2 linked regions of the Zea mays genome follow. Each later gene encodes a partner of the first gene's protein in a complex. Links are inferred from orthologs where the notes say so. Each region holds a gene or a part of one and is shown in the gene's direction. Other genes may lie near its edges.

Region 1 (4,009 bases):
TTGCCTCTGGTGATCCATTACGTTTTAAGAGAGCTGTTGGACATAAGGATCTCTTCTATCTTGATGATCGGGAGGTAGACTTCAAAGAGGTAGTGGCATTATTAATGATTATTAAATTTTCGTACCACTTATTTCAAAACCATTCATTTGAAATGTTTCTTCCTGGTTCGTGTCATGCAGATTATTGACTGTCCTCTGCCTAAAGCCCCACTGGACACATCAGTTGTAGCCCATTGGCTAGCGATTGAGGGGGTACAGCCTGCAATACCGGAGAATCCTGCTATTGACGGTCTGCCCTTTTTGTCCAGAGATTTATAGTCATTACTTTTCTCCTTAGCAAGATGTAGTCACATTCTTCTCCAATATTGAGAGAAAAATACTTGTTGTGCCAATTATCATTTTATTTCAGCAATTGTACCACCAACTGAAAATAAAAGGTCTGAGCATGGGAAAGATGATGGACTTCCAGCTGATGTCAAGCTTCCTGTTAAGCATGTATTATCTAGAGAACTACAGGTACTTTGATTATGATACCGTGCATTGTATATTACGCATATATTTTCAAGAAACTTATATGTCTATTCACTGTTTGGTTTTGCAGATGTACTTTGATAAAATAGCTGAACTTACTATGAGTAGATCTGATACGTCCCTTTTTAAAGAAGCTTTAGTGAGCTTGGCAAAAGATTCTGGTCTTCATCCTTTAGTTCCTTACTTTTCCTACTTCATTGCAGACGAGGTTGTACAGTAGCTTTCTTGCTTTTGGTGGGTTTCTTTTTATATGACATTACTTAGTGTGTATCCATTTGAATTTCAGGTTACCCGGAGTTTGGGTGATCTTCCTGTTTTACTTGCTCTAATGAGAGTAGTCCAAAGTCTTCTCCGTAATCCACATATTCATATTGAACCTTATGTAAGTAGTAAACCATAAGGTTTTGATAGTTCATGTGCGCGACTTATTTTTTTGCCATTTTATATATTCTTTTCGCCGTATTAGTACTAAATTAGCAGCATTTGTCTTGATCTGTAGTTGCACCAGCTGATGCCATCAATGATCACTTGCATTGTTGCGAAAAGGCTAGGGCATAGGCTCTCAGATAACCACTGGGAACTTAGGGACTTCTCTGCCAATTTGGTTGCCTTGGTATGTCAGAGGTGAGTGATATGTGAAGGGTGTCAGTAAATCTTTGTATAATTATCAAAATTTAATTCAATTGCATTTGTGATTTCAATTCCTTGATTCTCATATTATGACCTTAAAGAACAGTTATGTGCCCATAAAAGTGCTTTATCTTAGTTATGCTAATATGGTATCTTTTCGACAGGTTTAAGATGAAGGTCAAGTCAATAATAGTTTGACCACCATTTCATGCTCTTTCTTCCGTATATAAGATTTTACCTATTTTGCGGGATCATGTCATATGTGACATGATAAGTTTCATGGAAGCTTACATCTTAGTGGAAAACATACCAATAAACCATTGCATGGCTTTGCTACTGAGTAGACTACATAGTGTTCCTTTTAGAGACCAACTGGTAAATAGATATTTTCACTATGCTGTGTGTGGACAGAAGATTTATTTCAGTTCTATCTTCATGCATTTGTTGGGTGGGTCATGACTTGATCTTGCCTTATGTGTTTCCATGCATCCATTTTCTTTTGGAATTGATAGATTTATAGCCTTTTGCATGCTCTGCTCATGGAGTGTGTGTATTTTCTGAATGATGATCTCTAGCTCTCTTTGCTAATTGATATTTTCTGTATGTAGTATTTGGCTAATTGCCTTAATAATTTTCTCATGACATTGTTGACCAACTGAAGATGATGGTTTCAGGTTTGGTCATGTCTATCACAACCTTCAAAATCGGTTAACTAAAACATTGATCCATGCATTTCTTGATCCTGCCAAATCACTGACACAACATTATGGTGCTGTCCAAGGGATATCTGCACTGGGGCCCAGCGCGGTAGATCCCATTTGAAACTCTTTTTTTTTTGTATTAGTTATTCCTTCCTCAGATCCCACTTATGTGGGAGCCGCCAACACTGGGTCTGTCCTATGCACTGGCTGATTGTTTTTTCTGCTTACCAGATTAGACTCCTTCTTTTGCCCAACCTTGTGACATATATGCAACTTCTGGAGCCGGAACTGCAGCTTGAGAAGCAGAAAAACGAGATGAAAAGGAAGGAAGCTTGGCGTGTTTATGGTGCCTTGCTGGTCAGTTCAGAGTTCTCAGTCAATATAATATTTATCGTATTTTGGTTCACCAACTAATGCCAGGCCAAGTTTCTTACCAGTGGAATGCATTTTTTTAGTGTGCTGCAGGCAAATGCTTGTATGATCGGTTGAAACTATTTCCTGGTTTGCTTTCTCCGTCGATGCGGCCTCTTTTACAGAGCAACAAAAGGGTCTTAACCAACAACCCAAGTGAGTGTTGAATATAAGCACAGTATCAGTTGAATATATGCCACTAGACACGTGTTGACTGGCAATTAAGTGCAAAGTGGTTCTTACTGTCAGCAGTTGGATTAGTCGAGTTTGAAAGTAAAGATTATGTTGCGCTGCAAATTTCAGATAAGCGAAAATCTAGCACAGATCTCTCTGCAACTCAGCCACCTCTGAAGAAGATGGCAACGGACGCAACAGCCAACTCCATGGCCTCAGCTTCCATGGGAGGAAACATGCAAGGTGCCATGGATGGCTTTCCCAACCAGTTAGGCAACCCTGGCATGATGCAGGCCTCGTCCTCTGGGCAGACGGTGGAGAGCATCCCATCAGCTGCGGTCCGGAGGGATCAGGGCAGTGATCTCGCGCAGAGAGTTTCTGCAGTGCTTAGGCAAGCCTGGAAGGAGGACCAGGACACCGGTCATCTCTTGGGGTCTCTGTACGAGGTCTTCGGGGAAGCCATCTTCTCCTTTGTCCAACCACCAGAGATATCCTTGTTTGTGTAGAGAGAGAGAGAGAGAGGAAATGCATAGACTCTAGGTTTTATTATTCTACGCTGTTGTACAACTAGGGATGTTTTGAAGAGTTCACGAAACCCGGTTTGACATTGTCAAAGTAATGTGACTGAAGTTGTAGTTTACTCAGTTGCTGTGCTGTGCTGCTATCCAATGCATGCTATTTATGATGGCGTTGGCATTCAGATGGCATAGTTTGCTTTTGTAAGCGCTTGCCATTTTCCAACTCTATGGGAACGTCTGGTGTATTCCCGCTACAGCTGTCAGCAGGTTAACCAAATTCCGATGTTGTTGTACGCTTACCAACAGTCACTCGTTAGTATATCTGTCAGGTTAGTAAGCGTACAGAAACTTTGGAAACATTAGAAGCTCAGTTCTTGAAATTTGGGTATCATTATCATTCTCCAGTCCTTCAGGGATGGAGTGTCACTTATCTCCTGGCTATTCCACTAGTCTATATGCTCAAAGACCATATGCGCTTAGTCAAGTCCTCTTTCACCCTGTCGTCGTCTTTATGGAGGTCTTCGCCCACGAGAACGGCACCTGAGTAATGCGTCAGGTCAACGAAGAGTGGGAAGCCATGCCACGCGTGTTAATGTGTGCACTTACCACGATGTCATCAGTAGCCATGGAGGACGAGTTCGGGACGTAGTTGCGACGAACGTGGTCGGGACAACCATCACGATTCCGGTAGTAGCGTAGCTGAGCCTGTTCTTCTCTAGCGAGGACACCAGCGGCAGAACGAGCTGGCTGCCCACGAACACGAGGATCGACAGCCAGATCCTCGCTAGATCCCCTTCCAGGTACGCGCAGATCACTGCGGAAAGATCAGCAGCGCCTCAGTTTTTTTTTTTGGCTGCTGCTACCTACCTTAGTTTCTAAATAGATGATGCTTTTAACTTTTAGATATTACATGTAATTACCTATCCTACATATTTTTAAAAACAATAAAATAAACAAGTCATTATTAATGCATCATTAGTAACTAGGTAGGTGCCCGTGCGATGCCACGGAACATAAATTGCAAACCTCCAATGGACTTTATTT
Region 2 (4,142 bases), on another chromosome or scaffold:
GGTTTCGGGTAACGGGTACCCATTGCCATCTCTACTCACTAGCCTGCCCTCTAGCGTGCTGGCCTCCGTCAGCGTCGTCAGACTCCCCCGCTGGCCTGCTGTGTCTCCCACCATCAGTCCCCCGCCGGCCTGTCCTCCGGTGCCAGCGTGTTCTCCAGCAAGCATAGCCCGCGAGCCTTACTAGTGCTGTCGTCGAACAAGTAAATTGGTTGCTAAGCCTGATAATGAGCTGCCAAGTCATCTATTTGACATGCTGAATCAAATGCCTAGTTTCAATTCTACACATATATCTTTCTACTATGCTCATCTGGTGGCCAATCCTCACATCGGCAAAGCTTTCTACAACCGACTATTTGAGCACAAATTACATTAGATCACAATGTTCATCGCTGAGAAATTCTCTGAAATGTAACTGAGTTGATGGTGAGAAGTAACTTTTGTTAGTTTGTAATAGTTAGTGATGGTGAGAAGTAGCTTTTGTTAGACTGAAATGCAACAATGAGTTGAACTTGATCACTGAAATGCAACTATTAGTTGAACTTGATTACTGAAATGCATCTTGATGTTGTTGTGATGTTCCTTTTATTATGACTGAAATGTAACAATGAGACCTCATCACTCAAAATTTATGACTTGGTTAATAAGGGCTTTAATTTATGTATATCTTGTGCTTATGGATCTCTCAAATACTAAAATAGTGCCAGTTTCATTTATTTTGAATGTTATCATCTCATTTAGAATTGAAGATATAATCCCGAGTGTGGTAATATGACCAGGAAGGTGATCATATTCAGTTCATCCCTCATCACGAAACCAAACAAGAGATGATGCAGCTCCAATCCACTTTAACCTTGTAATCAAATAAGAAACTAGGTTTGACCTGTCAATGAAACCAAAGAAGGAACGAGTCCGATCCAATCCAGAAAAATGGATCAGCTTCGACCCGACCCACATCGTTTCGAAACCAAACACATGCTAGGATTCTTCTTCAACCTTTCCTCCGAAACCAAACACATGCTAGATTCTTCTTCAACCTTTCCTCTACCCTGCCTCACGAGTGAGAAAATTGGATTTCATGCTTTAAATAATTTGTTTCTCACTTTTTCTGTTTGTAATATTGACTTTATAAAAATAAGACTCATTTACATTTGGGTTTAATAATATTTTGGATATTTTTGTTCTTCTATACCATTCTGTGTATTGCATCTGTACGTATTCATGCGAGGATAAAAACGTCTAAAATAACATTAAAAACAAGTGTGATACGTTTTGATTTTACGAAATCAATGTTATGAATGGCAAAAAAAAAAAAAGATGAAGCGAAACATATGCTTTGGAGTCCAAAAATCTAATTTTTTCTGGGAAAAGTGCGAGCACATTGTTTGTTTGGAGAAATCCAATTTTCTACTCACGGACGCCGCCCCTGTGCCTCGCCATCGCCTCAGGTACGCAAGGCGGCCGAACACGAGCGCCCGCCTTCGTTCTTGCCTGCGCTGCCCCTCTCCTCGCCGTTTATTCGGGCTCCTACCTCTTGTTACAACTTGCGCGGTGGGGGCAGTGAGGCAGCAAGACGTGAGGTCCAGGATGATGAACAACAACAGTGGCGGCGGTGCCGGAGGCCCTGGAGGGGGCATGGGTACGGGAGTGGGTGGAGGGGGGGACGGGCGGCACGACGACGAGGCTGCGCTCACCGAGTTCCTCTCATCCCTCATGGACTACACCCCCACGGTATGGTGCCGCCGCTTCCCTCTCGCCTTCTCTACTTTTCTGTCAGCGGCTTAACCCTGATGCTTGGTTCGGTGGCGCGTAAGATTCCCGACGAGCTGGTGGAGCACTACCTCGGCCGCAGCGGGTTCCACTGCCCCGACCTGCGCCTGTGAGTGCTCGTCTTCTTTCCAATCTCTCTTCCTGATGGATAATAGTAAGCTGAGATCTGATCAGTGCCATGGATTAAAGTTAATAACACAAATTGCTTGATTTCTTGCACACATAATCTGAATTCGTGTTTTACAGAACGAGACTGGTTGCTGTAGCCACCCAGAAGTTCCTATCAGACATTGCTAGCGATTCTCTTCAGTGAGTAAATTCATAGTCTCGTTATTGCAAAGTAAAGGATTCTCTTCTTAATTTCAATGATGATAGCATATTCATGAATGAAACAGTATCATTCTTTTATTCCATGGGAATGCAAATCTTCTGTGCAATACTGCAATTCCATGTTTTTGTCTGGTTGAACAAGTTTGTTAGGCTTCAATCAAAATCCCTCCCTAATTGCATGTACTTGTGAAATTATTCATCGAGACATGGTTATGTTTATTAGGCTTCAATCAAAATCCCTCCCCAATGAAATTATTCATTGAGACATGGTTTTTAAGGTGCCGCTTACGTGATATGGCTCGCTGGAAATCTAGGCATCCCTATCGCCATGATCAAATATAAATATAGAGACAGAGGGGGGGGAGGGCATCTAGGTCAAGAACCCGAGCTGCTGCCATCCCTGCTGGATCCAACACCAGTGGCTGGCACAGAACTTGCTCCGGTCAGCTGTGACACAGTCAATCTGGAAGGTGACGGCAGTGGTGGTCAATTTGAGAGCACAGATAAGTGAGGAAAGCGGAAAAAGTGGGAGGAAGGAGAAGTTTCAGGCAGTGGTAGGCGCATCTGGATAGAAAGGGAGAGGAGGGAGTATGCTGGATATGTGGGGGTGACCATGTATATGCGCACTGGAGCCATTGATACAGGAAGGGAAGGAGAGGCTAAAGAAAGGAAGAGCATGAAGAGAACCAGGCAAGGCTGCACCTGCACCTGCACCTGCCCTCGCCCATCTCTGTTGGCTCCGGCGCCTGTGGTCTTGCAGATCTTCACTGGTCAACTGTATAGCTCGATCTGAAGGGGGCAGCACCAGTGCACAATCTGCATGAGTAGAGCTCTATTTCAAAAGGGGTGGCGTTGGCCCTCAATCTGGGAGGTGTGCTCTTGGGGCAGCCAGGCTTGTCGTTGCTCAAAGACGGCATTGGAAAGGACTGATGTAAACAGGCAAACAGCATCAAGTGAGGAATTGGTGGATTAGGGATTGAGGGGAGAGTGTAGGGTGTTGCTTTATGGGCTGTTGGGTTAATTGGGTTCTAATGAGTTAGTGGGGTGGCTGCTAATAGTTAATGTGGCCCATCGATGCTTGTATTTACCTCTTATTCTACATTATATATCTTACTACATATTTTATGTTCCATATCATTTACTTTTTCAAAAAATGAAACATATCCCTATATTGAGTAACTGTGTAACATGCAATTATCTTCAAAGTTTTTTAAAAAACATACAAGATACACTTACAAAGTGTATGCCTGATTTTGCGGAGATTCTGTAATTATATTACTTGTATAGGAGTGTATGAAAAACAGCTATCCATGTGCCTAAACCTGTATGGTTTCAACTCTAGCCTATCCCAACTTACTTGAGACTAAAAGGCTTTGTTGTTGTTATTTGTAATTATATTACCAATGGCTCATTCTTTATGTGGTCTGACTAATCAAGTGATGAATAACTAAAGCATACTAAAATTAGGAAACAGGTCAATTAGGGTTTTTTTGGTATCATCATCATCATGAGTTACGAATTAAAAGCATACCTAATTAACTGAAGGATACCTAATCAATCATCATGATAGGCTCATGTATCACATCATGTGCCTTAGCAAGGTGCGATTTGAGGTTGTAGTGGCAGCAGGCTAGCGCCTGCTGGAGAGGCTCCTAGTTTGACACGACCTGAAATGCACATTCTGCAGTCAGCAATCTGGCAATCACATTTAGCCTAGACAGCTATGGCAACTGAGCTGCAGGAATTGCTAAATGACTAGAACAGGTGCCAAGCTGATTATTTACCAGGGTCCAGGGGAGGGGGTCTTAATAACCCTGAAAGGCATTGTGATTTACAAAGCCCGTGGAAAAACAGATCCATTGTGCGGGGAGGATGGGATCTTTCGGATTATATTGCGTAAGTTTGCCAGGGTCTTATTTTGTTGGTTTTTTTTGTCAGTGTATGATGTGCTCTACTGTTCACTATATAACAAACTATTTTAACATTTTCTTAGCGATATGTATTATACACACTGTATTTGTGTGTACTAACTTTGCTGTTACATT

Evidence for each region. The genes of interacting proteins can lie anywhere in the genome.
Region 2: Transcription initiation factor TFIID subunit 6 (region 1) and transcription initiation factor TFIID subunit 10 share a complex: the UniProt entries of both Arabidopsis thaliana proteins name them as parts of the TFIID complex. The link is inferred for Zea mays from reciprocal best matches to the Arabidopsis thaliana genes TAFII59 and TAFII15.

Annotation. Positions count from the first base shown.
Region 1 is NC_050104.1:148,199,604-148,203,612, forward strand, and holds the end of Transcription initiation factor TFIID subunit 6, read left to right. Parts: coding exon 1-89; intron 90-180; coding exon 181-289; intron 290-409; coding exon 410-516; intron 517-601; coding exon 602-739; intron 740-817; coding exon 818-913; intron 914-1,030; coding exon 1,031-1,155; intron 1,156-1,835; coding exon 1,836-1,968; intron 1,969-2,093; coding exon 2,094-2,219; intron 2,220-2,317; coding exon 2,318-2,429; intron 2,430-2,576; coding exon 2,577-2,953; 3' UTR 2,954-3,090; downstream 3,091-4,009. UniProt on the Arabidopsis thaliana protein: TAFs are components of the transcription factor IID (TFIID) complex that is essential for mediating regulation of RNA polymerase transcription. Required for proper pollen function. May stabilize the interaction of TFIID with selected promoters.
Region 2 is NC_050102.1:124,193,908-124,198,049, reverse strand, and holds the start of transcription initiation factor TFIID subunit 10, read left to right. Parts: upstream 1-1,342; 5' UTR 1,343-1,445; exon of another isoform or gene 1,446-1,566; 5' UTR 1,567-1,584; coding exon 1,585-1,728; intron 1,729-1,811; coding exon 1,812-1,876; intron 1,877-2,013; coding exon 2,014-2,076; exon of another isoform or gene 2,077-3,993; intron 3,994-4,142. UniProt on the Arabidopsis thaliana protein: TAFs are components of the transcription factor IID (TFIID) complex that is essential for mediating regulation of RNA polymerase transcription.